Callithrix jacchus: one gene and its partner. The protein of the gene in region 2 purifies or fractionates together with the protein of the main gene of each other region. This does not show direct contact. Links are inferred from orthologs where the notes say so. Each region holds a gene or a part of one and is shown on either strand. Other genes may lie near its edges.

What was found.
Region 1: the proteins of IRF2BPL (region 2) and VGLL4 purify together in Homo sapiens (affinity purification with mass spectrometry; 3 studies listed by BioGRID and IntAct, counting the BioPlex papers as one, with this or other methods). This does not show direct contact. The link is inferred for Callithrix jacchus from reciprocal best matches to the Homo sapiens genes IRF2BPL and VGLL4.

Annotation. Positions count from the first base shown.
Region 1 is NC_133516.1:68,807,963-68,815,073, forward strand, and holds part of VGLL4 (transcription cofactor vestigial-like protein 4), read right to left. Parts: intron 4,677-7,111; coding exon 4,487-4,676; intron 1-4,486. UniProt on the Homo sapiens protein: May act as a specific coactivator for the mammalian TEFs.
Region 2 is NC_133509.1:111,954,470-111,962,333, forward strand, and holds IRF2BPL (putative E3 ubiquitin-protein ligase IRF2BPL), read right to left. Parts: upstream 4,243-7,864; 5' UTR 3,329-4,242; coding exon 968-3,328; 3' UTR 114-967; downstream 1-113. UniProt on the Homo sapiens protein: Probable E3 ubiquitin protein ligase involved in the proteasome-mediated ubiquitin-dependent degradation of target proteins. Through the degradation of CTNNB1, functions downstream of FOXF2 to negatively regulate the Wnt signaling pathway.

The DNA of each region.
Region 1 (7,111 bases), on a different chromosome or scaffold from region 2:
ACTACATTGGGAAAATGAGATAAGGGACCCTCCTTCATCATGATTACTCCTTGTCCCTCCCAAGTTCCTGGTTTGTTGCAATTGTTTCATTTCTTCCCTGCTACATAAACCCTAGTTTTAGTCCATCAGGGAGACGGATTTGCCCCATCTCCTAGGCTGGAGTACCCAATGAAAAAGCCTTCTTCCTCGGCAGTACTTGTCCTCAGTCACTGGCTTTCTGTGCAGAGGGCAGCAGGACCTAGACCAAACCCCCTGGTGTTTTGGTAATAGTATCATCAAAAAAATTAATAATGAGTTCAAATATTCCAGGCCCTAAAAGGCTGGAATTCTGATGGTGGAAGTGTGTATATAAAAAATAAAATTTAAAAAAAAGGCTGGAATAAAAGCCCAGGAATTCTAATTTTAAACATTCTGAAGAAATCACTAAGGAAACCTCTCTTTTTCCCCTTCCCCGAAATCAAACCAGATAGAACTTGTCTCATTCTTTGTCTCATCTTTTTTTTCTAAGACAGTCTTGCTTTGTCTTCCAGGCTAGTGTGCAATGGCACAATCTCAGCTCACTGTCACCTCTGCCACCCAGGTTCAAGCAATTTTCCTGTCTCAGCTTCCCAAGTAGCTGCGACTACAGGTGCACACCACAACGCCCTACTAATTTTTTTTTTTTTTTGTATTTTTAGTAGAGACGAGGTTTCACCACGTTGGTTAGGCTGGTCTCGAACTCCTGACCTCAAAGTAATCCATCTGCCTTGGCCTCCCAAAGTGGTAAGATTACAGGAATGAACCAATGAGCCCAGCCTCTGTTGCTTCGTACTATGGCTCAGAGTCACCTGATGTCTCCATCTTTCTTCTAGAAAATGTCTCTGTATGATGGTTATAATAAAATGTAGCCAAACCATGCATCTTTGAGGCCTTGTTAGCTAGCTACCAAAACTAGTTTTCTTTCTCCCTCCCTCCCTTCCTTCCTTTTTTAGAACCAGGGTCTCCCTTTTGTACCCTGGCTGGAGTGTAGTGGTGTGATCACAGCTCACTGCAGCCTTAAACTTCTGGGCTTAAGCTGTTCTCCCACCTCAGCCTCCCAAATAGCTGGGAGCACAGGAGCACTCCTCCAGGTCAAGCTAATTTAAAAATTTTTTTTTTAGAGATGGGGTCTTGCTGCCCGAACTCCTGGACTCAAGCAATCTGCCTGCCCCAGCCTCCTAAAATGCTGGGATTACAGGCATGAGCTAACACACCCAGCCAAAACTCTTTTCCAATAACACTCCTTTCCCCAGAATTCTTGTGATTGCTTTAGTGATCAAATAAATCGTATTTTCATTACATGTCATTAACAAACTCTAAGAAGATAAAGCACAAAACCCATTTTGGGATCTCCTTAAAGAGGCAAATACACTAGACTATTCCTTTTCAAATAATTATGAATCTGAAATGTACTACAGATAACTTCTGAGACATTAAATCTAAAGGGGGGAACATAACTATAGCCCAATAGGAAATATTTCATTGAATGGCAGCACTAAATACCCTACAACACGAAGAAGTAAGATAGGCAGCATCTTTCCAATCTGTCATTAGGCTCCTAGAAAATACAGTAGAAACAATGGTAATGTTACTAAAATTAGTAACTATCACACAGTAAACAAGTAACACTCAGAAGGACCTAACCACACACTGATGGCCTTTCCTACTTATACTCTGCACTTAAAAATGGTTAAGAAAATACATTTTATAGTATATATATACTTTTTACCATAATTTTAAAAATGGGGGGAGAGCCACCTGGCTGGTGTAAGGGAGTCTGAGACATGGGGTTACTGCTGTTTCTATTTTCCTAAAACTTTGCATAATAATGTCAATTGGGAGTTTCACATACAATTCAGCAATTCTGGCCAGGTGCCGTGGCTCGTATCTGTAATCCCAGCACTTTGGGATGCCAAGGCGGGCAGATCACAAGGTCAGGAGTTCAAGACCAGCCTGGCCAACATGGCAAAACTCCATCTCTACTAAAATTACAAAAATGAGCCGGCATGGTGGCACATGCCTGTAGTCTCAGCTACTCAGGAGGCTGAGGCAGGAGAATCACTTGAACCCAGGAGGTGGAGGGTGCAATGAGCTGAGATTGTGACACTGCATTCTAGCCTGGGAGGCAGAGTGATGCTCTGTCTCAAAAAAAAAAAAAAAAAAAAAAAATTAGCGATTCTATTCTTTACATTTAAAATTATTTATAGCGTCATCACAGACCCATACACATCAAGTTCATATCTGTAGCCCCCAAGAGAGTTGCAAAATTATTTTCCTTTTTTGTTTTTAGACAGAGTCTCACTTGGCTCACTGCAACCTCCACCTCCAGGTTCAAGCGATTCTCATGCCTCAGCCTCCCAAGTGGCTGGGATTACAGGCACCCACCACCACACCCAGCTAGTTTTTGTATTTTTTTAGTAGAGAGAGGGTTTCACCATATTGCCTAGGCTGGTCTCAAACTCCTGGCCTCAGGTGATCCACCCACCTCGGCCTCCCAAAGTGCTACGATTATAGGTGTGGGCCACTGTGCCTAGCCACAAAATTATTTTCTAAACGTTTTAACATTCTAATAATAACTAAACCTGAGTGCTTACAATCGGCCAGGCACCGTACTTAAGTCCTTACAATAATCCTATGAGGAAGGAATCAACATTATCTTCGATGAAATGCCAAGAAAGCAGATTTGAACCCAGTCATTTTTATTAAAAGGCATATATTATCAAACATTAAATCCACCACACACACACACACACACACACACACACACTCTTCTTTATCATTATAACCAGTATCTGAACAATGGAATAAAAATAACAGCTCTCTTCAACTGAGTGCAACACCGTGCCAAGCTCTTTGCCTATTTTAACTCTAATCCTCATAACAGCTCTATACATTAACTATTATTATCGTCAAGGATACTGGGCCCAGCTAAATTAAGTGACTTGTCCAAAGCCTCACAGTTGCTGTGTGGCAGAAGCAGGATTTAAATTAAGGCATGTTTGTCTGCAGGCTGCCTTCCCCTTTCTTACTTATAAAAAGAAAAGAAAAAAGAACAAATGCTCGTATTGGGGTTTGGAAAAGAAGGATGGGAAAGAACAAGAAATTTGTGGTAATAAAAGAATGAACTGCAACAGTTGAGCACCCAGGAGTTCAGCGAGCCCTAACTGCGGAGTGCATTGTTTGCAGGGCCTTCCTGCTGGATTCCTGATGGTAGCAAATTCCAGGGCTCCAGACTGCAGGCTCAGCCTCTGACTAACACTGCAGTGATTTATTTGAGGATAAATACCTCTGTCAGTGTCTTATGACTGAACACAACAGTCCAAGCTGACTGGAACGAGCGGAATGCGAGGACGCTGGAGCTGAGGCAGCAGAGGCGGGAGCTGGGCCACCTCTCTGCGGAAGCTCTGCCTCCAAGGAGGAGCCTTCCCTGCTCTACCTTCCTGTGGGGAAACAGCAGCACCCTCAGAAACTGGAGCATGTTGAAAATGAGGAAACACTGACTCATGCTGGAGTGAGTGCTTAGGGCAGGGAAGGGGGAGGACCTCTGTACCTGCACACGCAAAACTCCCTCCGATACTCAGTGCAGCCTCACCAGGATTGGCAAGACAACTCCGAGAACACCAACTGCCCTCACCACTGTCCCCAGTCTCCCTGGGCAGGTGATGGGGTGTCTCCAAGTCCTGAAAACTGGGGAGAAGCCTATCCCTTTGCACCCGGGGTGTGTGCCGAGAGCAGAGTACAAACGGGAGAAGCCAGTGCATTGAAGCGGGAGGCTTTTCCAGTAGAAACGTGGTGATGATGCACAGATACAGAGAACTGTAGTTTCAGCCCCTGTTGTTTCACAAACAAGGAAACTTAGGCCAATGAGTTGAAGCAATTCGTGTCAAGAAGGTAGAGTGTCAGTGGCAGATAAAGGACTGGCTGGATGTGATGAGTGGCAACCTGTATGAGCATAGGAAGCTGGCTTCCCTTTATGGGAAGGTCCCAAGATTGTACCAGGGACACGCAACGTGGGACAAACACTTCTTCGTGTACAATCCTAGACTCCTGAGTAAAACCTTAACAGGCATCTGCTCAGGTGCTGACCTTCCCTTCTATTTGTCTGGTGCATACTGATATTCACTAACACTGATTCTCCTAAAAACAATCAGTATGTAGAGGTGAAAAGCCAAGCTTAGCAGATGACTACTTGCAGAAGCTCTAAGGGGACATTAACTTCTTTGGAGTTTAACATGAGAAAGGTCCTACGACAGGTACGCTGGAGGGAAGTTGGACTTCATCTCTCCACAAGTTATCAAAATGAGTTACTACCTTCTTTTTGTCAGACAAACGCTATTTTTCTTCATAAATAATATCCTTTACAAATTAAGTATTCAAATGGTAACTTCAGAATCAGCACAAAGTTGCAAAACAAACAGGGTCCCAGCACGGAGCGCCCTTAAGCCAAAATAAGAACAGAAGAACTCACAGATGGGGGTTGAAGATGCGACTCATCTTGGAGACGTGGTCACTGTCACAGTCTAGGTCCTCGTCACCTGGCTCCATGCTGAATTTCCTCTTGCTGGGGCTGATGGGGGGAGGACCAGTTCGGTGACTGCTGAGGGCAGAGGCCACTGGCAGGGTCTGCATTCTGGGTTCTCCCCTGAGAGCAGCTTCACCTATGTAGAGAGAGATGATGTGGTCACCAAGCAGGAGAAAGGCCCCCATCTCAGTACCCCAGGCTCCCTGCCCGCCAAGCCAGCCCCTTGCAAAACTGCTCCCAGTGGAAAGTTTTTGGCAGTGGGATGGGGCCGCCTGCCATCCTCAGAACACGGTTTGAGTGTGGTGAGCTGCCAAGCATGAGACATTTTACATCAACGCGGTTTTCTAGCACAATTGCCCTTCAGGGTAGAGTTTAAAATAAAGAGTTGCAATCAAATAGCAGCAGGGAGGCAAAAAGCATTTGCTGTAAACAATCTCAAAAGTTAATTTAAAACACCAAAGGTCTTTTCACGTGTGGGTATTCCATTCCATATGGACAGGAGAATAACCTCACTGCAATCATGAAATCACCATACCCAACTCACTTTTCCTGCTTGTTCTTTATTATTATTATTATTTCTTGGTATATTATTTACTTTAAAAGAATGAGGAAAGTTTATGGGCTAATAGTTCACAACATTTGCTCCCTAAAGTTATAAGAAATATAAATATATCATTTAATGGGAAATAAATGTTTGTTATAGTCCACTAAAAATTGCACATTAAAAAGATTATTACCAGCACAAAACTTCAGCATATAACTTATCACAAGCATAATATGTAGGTAGGTGCAGTTCTGAAACATTTTTCAAAGTTAGGCAATCAAATTAGGATCCAAATTTCCATTTGATTTGGTATCCTGGCGCTTTTCGTAACTGTTTTAAAAGGTTTTGCACTAGGTAATCACTTTGTGCCTTGCTGTGAAGTAAAATAAGCATAGCCTTTCATACTCATAAAGGTTGTGTACCTTCTAAACTTTGTAAAGACTAATGATTGGGCCAGGTGCGGTGGCTCATGCCTGTAATCCCAGCATTTTGGGAGGCCAAGGCGGGTGGATCACAAGGTCAAGAGATGGAGACCATCCTGGCCAACATGGTGAAACCCCGTCCCTACCAAAAATACAAAAATTAGCCGGGCATAGTGGCACACGCCTATAATCCCAACTACTTGGGAAACTGAGGCAGAGAATTGCTTGAACCCAGGAGGCAGAGGTTGCAGTGAGCCAAGGAGTGCACTGCATGCCTGCCTGGGCAAGAGAGTGAGACTCTGTCTCAAAAAAAAAAAGACTAATGATTAAAAGAAAATTTCGAACTTTCTAAGTCACATGGGGAGAGCACCTAAATTTTTCATCAATAATAACCCTTTTTTTGTGCTGGACATTTGGGTCTCTCCGATCTGGCCCATTTTGTTTCCACTGGGTCACAGTTTGAGAGTAATATGAGGATAAAGTCAACGTCATCTCAGGCCTTGTGGTACATAAGAAAAAGAATCTTTGTTTGTCACCACTCATTTTCGTATCATCACAGACGTGTGGACAGTGTTCACAGTCATTTATTTCATACACATATGACAAATATGATTTTGTTGGAGAAAGGAGTGAGGAAAAAACCCTCTGAATATTTACCAGGAAAAATAAAAACTCTGCCAATTTAGTCAGCAAGATATAAACCAGCAAATATACAGTGACCCATAATACACCTCCAGCCAGGATTTCTTTTAAGGATTCTGGCCCCAAAGCAAAATGGAACTTTCCATTTTAAATGAGATACCTAAAACACAGGCCCCACACTGGCCTGCCACACTCAGAAATTCGGTATGATCTTGGTTGGCCTGTATTCCCTATCAGGTAATTTTTCATTAAAAAAAAAAAAAAAAAAAAAAAAAAAGGGAGTGTTAATCTGTATACCTTCATAAATGAGAAAAATATCCTTTCTAATTATCTCCCTTCTTTGTGATACTTCCTCCTCCACATAGAGAGAAGAGGGTGTTTCCAAGGGAAAGCTTCAGAAGCCCAAGCCCAGCTAACTTTCTGGGAAGCCCTGATGATACCCCCAGGAATGCAGCAACTGCCAATCAAACCTCATCAAAATGGCACGGGCTGAACCTCCTCTCCCAGGGTTTCTCAACACTCCTGGCAGGGATGCAAGGGGATGAGGAGTTGTACCCCTGAGCTGTGGTCATCATTTCATCAGATGTCAGCTGTGTAGCAACAGGAGTTGCTATGGAAATAGCACTACAGCAACAGACTAAAATCACTCCAAAAAAGGAGCTGTCACTCATTCCAACAGCATACACTGTGACGCGGAGAGCAAAACCCTTGGGTTCAGAACAACATTCCCACTCCCCTCCCCAGTTTCCATCCTAGTAAAAATTCTCGTGCTTGTTTGCATTTTAAGTTCATCCAATGGATGCAATGCTTATCTTTAAGACTGAATCACTGATGTCTAACATAGGAAAAAAATTCCACAAGAATCCTCAGAAAACACTGGAGATTTCTAACCAGTGGGTTGGGGTGGGACTGGGTCTGGGGCTACAGGCCCCATAAAGGCACTCCAGATGTCCTTTACCAGGG
Region 2 (7,864 bases):
CTTTCAAAGGCACTAGGATTTTCGTTCTGTATTGGAGGTAGGGAGGGTGTCCCTTACGTCGGAGTTGTGTGGCCTTAGCCCTAGAAAGACAAACTTGCTGACTCGGCGCAGAATTAATATCAATTGAATTTATTACAAGTTACTAAGCTCCAAGGCACATTACAGTGTTCTGTTAACTACAGAAATGTATAAAGGACAAACAGAGCAGATTCTCCATGTCTAGCATTTCGCTCTACTGTTCAAAAGCATCCGTGCATCAAGAAAGCAAAAACAAAACAACACGTGTAGATCCAACACATTCAGGTCAGTAGAAACAAACCAAAGCATTTTCCCCTCACAAACTTGCAACAAAAAACACCCCGTCCCCCCCACACCCCCCTTACCATTTTGCAAACAAAACAGAAAAACGAAACAAAAACAGAACAAAATAAAGTGAAGACTTCAACACTTGGGGCAGTTTAGAAGGAAGCTTTCACCATTTTATAGCATCATTTTTTTTTTTTTTTTTTTTTTTTTTTTTAGGCAGCAACACTGGCCTTGGCAAAAAAAAAAAAAAAAAAAAAAGTCTTTTTCTTGTGTCTGTTTCTCCTTTCAGAGAGTGCATAACATTTACAAAAATACACACCAGCAGCAGTCGTTGCTAAGGGCTATTAATTCTGTACCTAGGCAAACATTCTGCCACCAAATAAATGCTAACGAATATGATGCAAACGACCCAACCAATATGATACTGCTTAACACAAACCAGCTTATCCTTCAAATGAAGAAGTTACATACCTTTGTTTCAAAATATAGAAACATACGACGAAAATAATGTCTATACATAAGACTAACTTTTTGCAGTTTTGTTATATTCACAATTCTACATCTTGGGGGTGAGGGAAGGGAAGGTCGAGGTGGGTGGGGGTGGGGCCCTCAGGATTGGAGAGGAGCTGGTCTGGGGCAAAGGAGGTGGCTGCCCGGTGGTTCAAGGGTCTCTCTCCTTTTTCACTTTAACATCCCCAGCTAAGATAGTCGCGATTTCGCCTTGCATGAAGGCCCAAGGTACATTCGACCCGACTAGGGGGCATTTCTCTCCGCTGGGGCAATACACCTCGCCGGTGGCCCCCTGGGCCTTGATACTCTCTCTAGAGCAAGGGAAGCAAAATTTGTGGCTGGGGACGGATGGGCACTGAACGAAATGCGTGTCCTCCAAACGTTCGTGGCAAATGGTGCAGCAGAGGGGTCCGCTGTTGGCCATGGGGGAATCCGGAATGTTCTGGGGATGCACTTGGTCCATGCCCGGATGGGCGCTAGGCGGCGGGGGCGCCACCTGTAAATTCAGGTCCCCGTTACGTGATGCCAAGCGGCGCTGGCCCGGCACGGAGGCCGGCGAGACTGGGCTGCTGCTGTTGCGCCGCGCGGACGCAGTGGTAGAGTGCACGGAACTGCCATCCTTGGGCGAGTGCGCAGTGCCCAGAGTATCTGCCACCGACATGAGGGCAGCCATGGGGGATGGACCGTTCTGGGGGGCTGACTCAGGTGGGGTGGTCCGGTTGGAATGGGGTCCCAGAGGTGGGGGCGGCGGAGGCGGACCCCCTGTCGCGTGCCCCGGCGCCGCGAAGCCCCCGGCGGACATGGTGAGCTTCAGCGCCTCGCTCTGGTTCGCCATCCACTGCTGCCTCTGCTGCTCCTCACCCAGCTTCAGCGCGCCCTCGGCTGGGTCCGGGGGCTCGGGAGAGGCCTTCCTCTTGCGCAGGCTGGCGGCTGCGCCCCGGCCCGAGGTCGCGGTGGACGGCAGGGCCCCGGTACCCGGGGGTGCGCTAGGGGCGCGGCTCAGACTCACCAGTGCTGTGGGTAGCATGGGGCAGCTAGCGTCCAGGTAGGGCTGGGGCAGCATGTCGGCGCCAGGCACGCCCTCCTTGAAGAAGCGCACGGCCTCGGGCAGCAGGTCCCCAAGCAGGCGCCAGTCCCCGGAGCCGTGCTTCTTTTCGTACTCCAGGTACTTGAAACCCGAGGACAGGCCCCGGCCGAAGTCCTTCATGCAGTCCTGGTACATCTGCTTGGCCACACCAGACGCACTGGAGTACACGTTGCCCGAGCCCGTGGGGTACTCAATGAACAGCTTCAATTCGTAGTCCATGCCGGGCTTGGAGACGGCGTCGAAGGCGAAAACGCGGCCCAGCAGCGAGTGGTCCTTCTTGAAGCGAACCTCGTAGGGCGTACAGCCCGCCAGCGTGAGCAGCGTGTCTCGGACCATCTTGGGCTTGTTGGCCCACTCCTCGGCGCGGTTGCGCAGGCTCTCGCTCAACTCGGCCAGGGCCTCGGCGTTGCGCTGCTTCTCCTTCAACTCGCGCTCCTGGTCCATGCTCGATACCGAGCCGGGCCTTTTGCCACCAGCACCCACGCCCACCTCCGCCACCGACGAAGAGGTCGAAGACGACGCGGACGACGTGGCCGATACACCCGGGTTACCCCCGAGACAAGCGGGGCCCCCGGGAGCCCCTGGGGGAGCAGGCGTCGGGGGCCCACGGCTGCCTAGCGCATGAGGCGGGGGTGGGGGGAGGACCGCGGCGCTGGCCGGGCCGTTAAGCAGTGTCTGCGGTAGCAGGTTGGGGGGCACGGTGAGCTGGGGACCTCCGCCACCCCCCGGATTGGGCAGCCCCGTCACCAGCCCACCGTGCGTCCCACGCCGGGACGCCACCGATGCCGCCGCTGAAGAAGAGTTGGGGCTCTGGCGATTCAGCTCTGGGGGTCCCTCCTCCGGTGCTGGTTTGGGGAAGCCGTTTGGGCCCCCCAGGCCGTTGGGCAGCCGCGCGGCGTGGCTGCTGCTTCCCAGGCTCACCGGCGGTGGCGGGTACTCGAAGCGGCTGCGCTGTTCCACGGCGGCGGCGGCGGCGGCGGCGGCGGCTGCGGCCGCGCTCAGGCCATAGCGCTCTAGGCCAGACGGGGCCGCCAGCACCGCAGGTTTGCTGGGACCATCTACGTGGTTGAGCTGCTGCTGTTGCTGCTGCTGTTGCTGCTGCTGTTGTTGTTGCTGCTGCTGCTGCGCGGCGGCCGCCGCCGCTGCCGCCGCTGCCGCGGCCGCTTCCTTAGCCGACAGGGCCACCGTCTTGACCCCGACGGGCGGCGGCGGCCCGGGGGAGCGGCCGTCCTGGAAGCAGCCGTGCGCCCGCTTCAGCTGGCGCGCGGTCTCGATCACGAACTCGATGCGATCGGCGCCCTCGTAGTTGACGCAACCGCGGCATACGGGTTCCGAGAAGTCCCAGATCATGGCCCAGGGCATGCGGGGCAGGTCGCACAGGTAACAAGATTGTCTCCGGGACGAGGACACCTGCGCCGCCGACATGATGCCTGCCCTGGGGAAGGTAGGCCCCCGCCCGGGCTGTCTCTGCGGCGCCTTCTCCTCCGGGAGGACTGGCCGGCTGGGGAGGGAGTCCGACTGCGGGGGAGGGAGGAGGGGGGCGAGAAAGTTCTGCCCCAGGGGCTGGAGGGCGCGCGAGTCTCCACCGCCGGCGCAGCGCCTCGCCGTGGGGCTCCACTGACCGGGCGGAGGACGGGTTCAGCCCGCTCTTCGCCCCCACCTCCTACTGCGGATGTCTCGTCGCGAGGGGAGCTCAGGAGCCTTCTTCCTGGTGCCGCGGACTTGGGCTGGAAGCTCCGGGCCCGAGGGGAGGGGGCGAGGGTGCCCGGTGCTGGCCGCCGTTGCCTCTTGGCCCCCTCCCCGGAGTGGCGGGTGCGTGGAAGCTCGAAAGGGGATGTCTCTTCCTTTCCCCGGGGGCCCCCCTACGAGCTGCGTCCTCTCCCCGACGGGCCCCCTGGGGCGAGGGCTAGAGAGTTCAGTGCCACCCGCTGCCCGGGTCCAATCTTGCTGAAGCCGCTGCTTCCCCGGAGGGCCGGGGGAGGGGGTGGTAGCCGAGAAAGGACCTTCTCCCCTCCGTGGCGTCGGCCGTTCCGCTGGCAACGGCTGGGTTTGCACCCAGGAGGGAGCCGCCGCGGCCACTGCTTCCAGGACGCACGAAAGCAGAGGAGAGGAGGGCACGCACGCAGGCTCCCGCCGCCCCCAGGCCTGGCCGGCGCCCGGGCCGCCGCGGCTGGCGGCGCTCACGTTGGCTGCAGGGCGCTCGCGCGGCGCCTCGGCCCGGGTCGCATCCCTTCCCGCTCGTGCTCGCGCTCGCCCGGAATGTGGGGTTGTGATTGTTACTCTACGTTCCGGAGGCGCGTCTCGGCGCTCCTGCTCCGGCTGCGGCTCGCGCTGTCCCCGGCTTGGCCGCGCGGGATGCCGCCCGGGCGGAGCGCTGACGTCACCGCCATGCTCTGCACCAGTTCTCCCCCCCTTTACACTTCCTCTGTGGAGCCCACTTGTTGCTCGGGAAAGGCGCATGCGCGGCAGGACGCCCAGATTCCTCCCAGCCGGCCCCTCCTCCGCGCCTCCGCCCTCCCCTCCCCCTCGCCGTGTGTGTACAACAGCTGAGGCCCGGCGAGCTAATGCTGGAAGTCCAGAGCTGGGGGTGGAAATTAAACAGATGATGACCTTTCCTTTCCCTGCCCGGCATTCCCAAGTAAAAACGCATTTAAGAACCAGTAGCGTCGCTTCCGATCCCTGCTCCCCACCCCCAAGCCCTGGCAGTGAATTTAAATGCCCTGTTTCGGGATTTTTCGTCGTGAATTTCGTATAAGGTATTAACCATTTCATCTGCGATCAAACCTTATCCCACCTGGCATGGATGTTACATTCAACGCCACCACTGATGCCGAAGCACCTGCAAACTTAGCTGTTTTCTAATCTTCCAGAAGCTGCCTTTTCTATTTGTTTTTGTGCCTTGGGTAGGAACCCAGGCTTCAACGATGGAGCTAAATTAATTCTGGGTGCGCTACCCTTCCCCCCAGCCGCACTCTAAAAATTTTGGCTGAACGTCTAAAGAAGATACGAGCACCCCGAGGCCTTTAAGGAAAGCAGTCAACTGGCTGCGCACAGCTGCAGTTGAGGGCAGGGAGGGGTAGGTGCAGGAGAGGCCAAACAGGTGAGGTTTTTCTAGCGTTTGATTTTTAAAAGGCGGGGGCAGTTTTTAATAATACTGATAACTTTGTATCTTTTTGTAAAACACAGCCGCAGTTTTTTTTTTCTTTCTTTTGTTTTTTTGGAGACGAATCTCACTCTGTCGCCCAGGCTGGAATGCAATGGCGCGATCTCGGCTCACTGCAACCTCCGCCTCCAAGGTTCAAGTGATTCTCCTGCCCTAGCCTCCCAAGTAGCTGGAACTACAAGCGCACGCTGCCACGCCAGGTTTATTTTTTCCACTGTGTTGCTGAGGCTGGTCTCGAACTCCTGAACTCAGGCAGTCGTGTCTGTGTCTTCCCCTCCCCCCGCCCGGCAAGGTGCTGGGATTTCGGGCGTCAGCCACCACACTCGGGGGGTGGGGGGGTATTTTTTGAATGGATGGATGGAGTTTTGCCATGTTGCCCAAGCTAGTCTTGATCTCCTGGGCCCAAGTGATGCACCCACGTTGGTCTCCCAAATTGTTGGTATTGCAGGCATGAGCCACCTCACCCAGCCTCAATTTGTTTCTTTTCATAATAGGAGATAACTCTTACTTAGCCTTGTTGTGAGACACTTAGTAAACTAGGTGGCTTACTTGCATCACCCTTAATATTATCTACAGTATTTAGGGGATATTATCTATAGTATTTTGTGGTGTTTGTTGATGTTTTGAGACAAAGTCTTACTCTGTTGCCCAGGCTGGAGTGAAGTGACATGATTTCGGCTCTACCTCCCAGGTTCAAGCAATTCTCCTGCCTCAGGCTCCTGAGTAGCTAGGATTACAGGCAACCACCACCACACCCGGCTAATTTTTGTATTTTTAGTAGAAAGAGTGTTTCGCCGTGTTGGCCAGGCTAGTATCGAACTCCTGACCTCAGGTGATCTTCCCTCCTCAGCCTCCCAGAGTGCTGGAATTACAGGCATGAGCCACCGCACCCAGCCTATTATACTATTAAACCCTTAATATTATCTACAGGGTAGATTCTTTTAACTCCATTTTACAAATCAGGAAAGTAAAGAGGCTATATAACTTGCCCACAGCCATTAGAGATGGAGCTATGATCTGAATCCAGTAAATATGATTTGAGAGGTGGCTTTGACAAGCTCAGGCTCACAGGTGGTTTGGGGTACTCAAAGTTCCCATCAGTCCCAGTGGATTTGATACTGCATACAATCTTATGTAAGTATTATTCAAATATACCTTCATAACCAACCCCCAGCCTCCCCTTACAAACAACAGATTTGTAACGCTGAGTTCTTTTTTTTTTTTTTTTTGAGACAGAGTCTTGTTCTGTCACCAGGCACCAGGCTGGAGTGCAGTGGCACGATATCGGCCCACTGCAACCTCCTCCTCCCGTGTTCAGTTAATTCTCCTGCCTCAGCCTCCCAAGTAGCTGAGACTACAGATGTGCGGCACCATGCCCAGCTAATTTTTGTATTTTTTAGTAGAGACAGGGTTTCACCATGTTGGCCAGGATGGTCCCGATCTCTTGACCTCATGATCTGCCCGTCTTGGCCTCCCAAAGTGGTGGGATTACAGGCATGAGCCACTGTGCCCAGCACCACTGAGTTCTATATACAGAAGCTGTAGATCTGCCACTACCAGACTGTAACCTAAATTCACCATACAGAATGGAGAGCACAGTGTCGGACTCACAGTGTTAGTTATTATTAGTATCGATACTAGGGTTGGTACTATTGCTGGTTAACATGTGACAGTACTTTCTAAATTGCATAAAATGTAAGGGTCATTATTCGTATCACTCCTATTACTAATTGCAATAAAGCTCATGGAAGCAACAAGAGATATTTATTTTTATTTTGGCCCTTCACCTCCAGAGACTCTTCCCCTATCCAACACTCCCCGGAGCTGCAATCTCCCACTCATTCTGGGGCTCCCAAGTGCAAAGGAAAGGCGAGGTGTTTTGTCCGTTTGCTTTAATTTTTTTTATAGAGATGGGGTTTCACCATGTTGGCCAGGCTGGTCTTGAACTCCTGACCTCGTGATCCACCCATCTCAACCTCCCAAAGTGCTGGGATTACAGGCATGAGCCTTGTTTTTTCTTTTAAGGCAGAGTTTCACTCTTGTTGCCCAGGCTGGAATATAATGGCACCATCTTGGCTCACTGCAATCTCCACCTCCCGGGTTCAAGTGATTCTCCTGTCTCGGCCTCCCAAATACCTGGGATTATAGGTGCATGCCACCAAACCTGGCTAATTTTTGTATTTTTAGTAGAGACAGGGTTTCATCATATTGGTTAGGCTGGTCTCGAACACCTGACCTCAGGTGATCTGCCTGTCTCCACCTCCCAAAGTAATGAGATTACAGGAGTGAGCCACTGCGCCTGGCCAGAAAGGTCAGTTTTTAAGCACAGAAAAGGAGGAGGAGCCCTAGGGAGCCCCGCTTTCATCTCAAAGCCAGATTTCTGTTTTTGCAAAACAGTGAGCTCACAGTGCACTCTAGAGCAATAATAAACTTTCTCTGGCCTGCTGGCACTTTGCAGTGATTCCTCTGCAAAGAGCTGCTTGGGGAGCATTGCCTCACTCTCCCAGACTTCAGCCCTCCACACACCACAGCTACCCTGAAGTGAGTCAAAACACAGGGCTGGGAAATGGTTTGACATCCCTGCCAGCTCAGGGCTCCTTAGCTTTGGCTTGGCTGGTTGACCCATTACTTTACATTAATATTTATTCAGCCCTTCCCTTTATTAAACCAAAAATATTGGGGAAATAGCAACTTAGCCACAACCCTCCAGCCAGGCTGCTAGAGAAAGCAAGTTGAATTCTGTGTCATAGTGTTATGTTTGGTATGCACACACATATGTCCCTTCTCCCTGTCTGTCT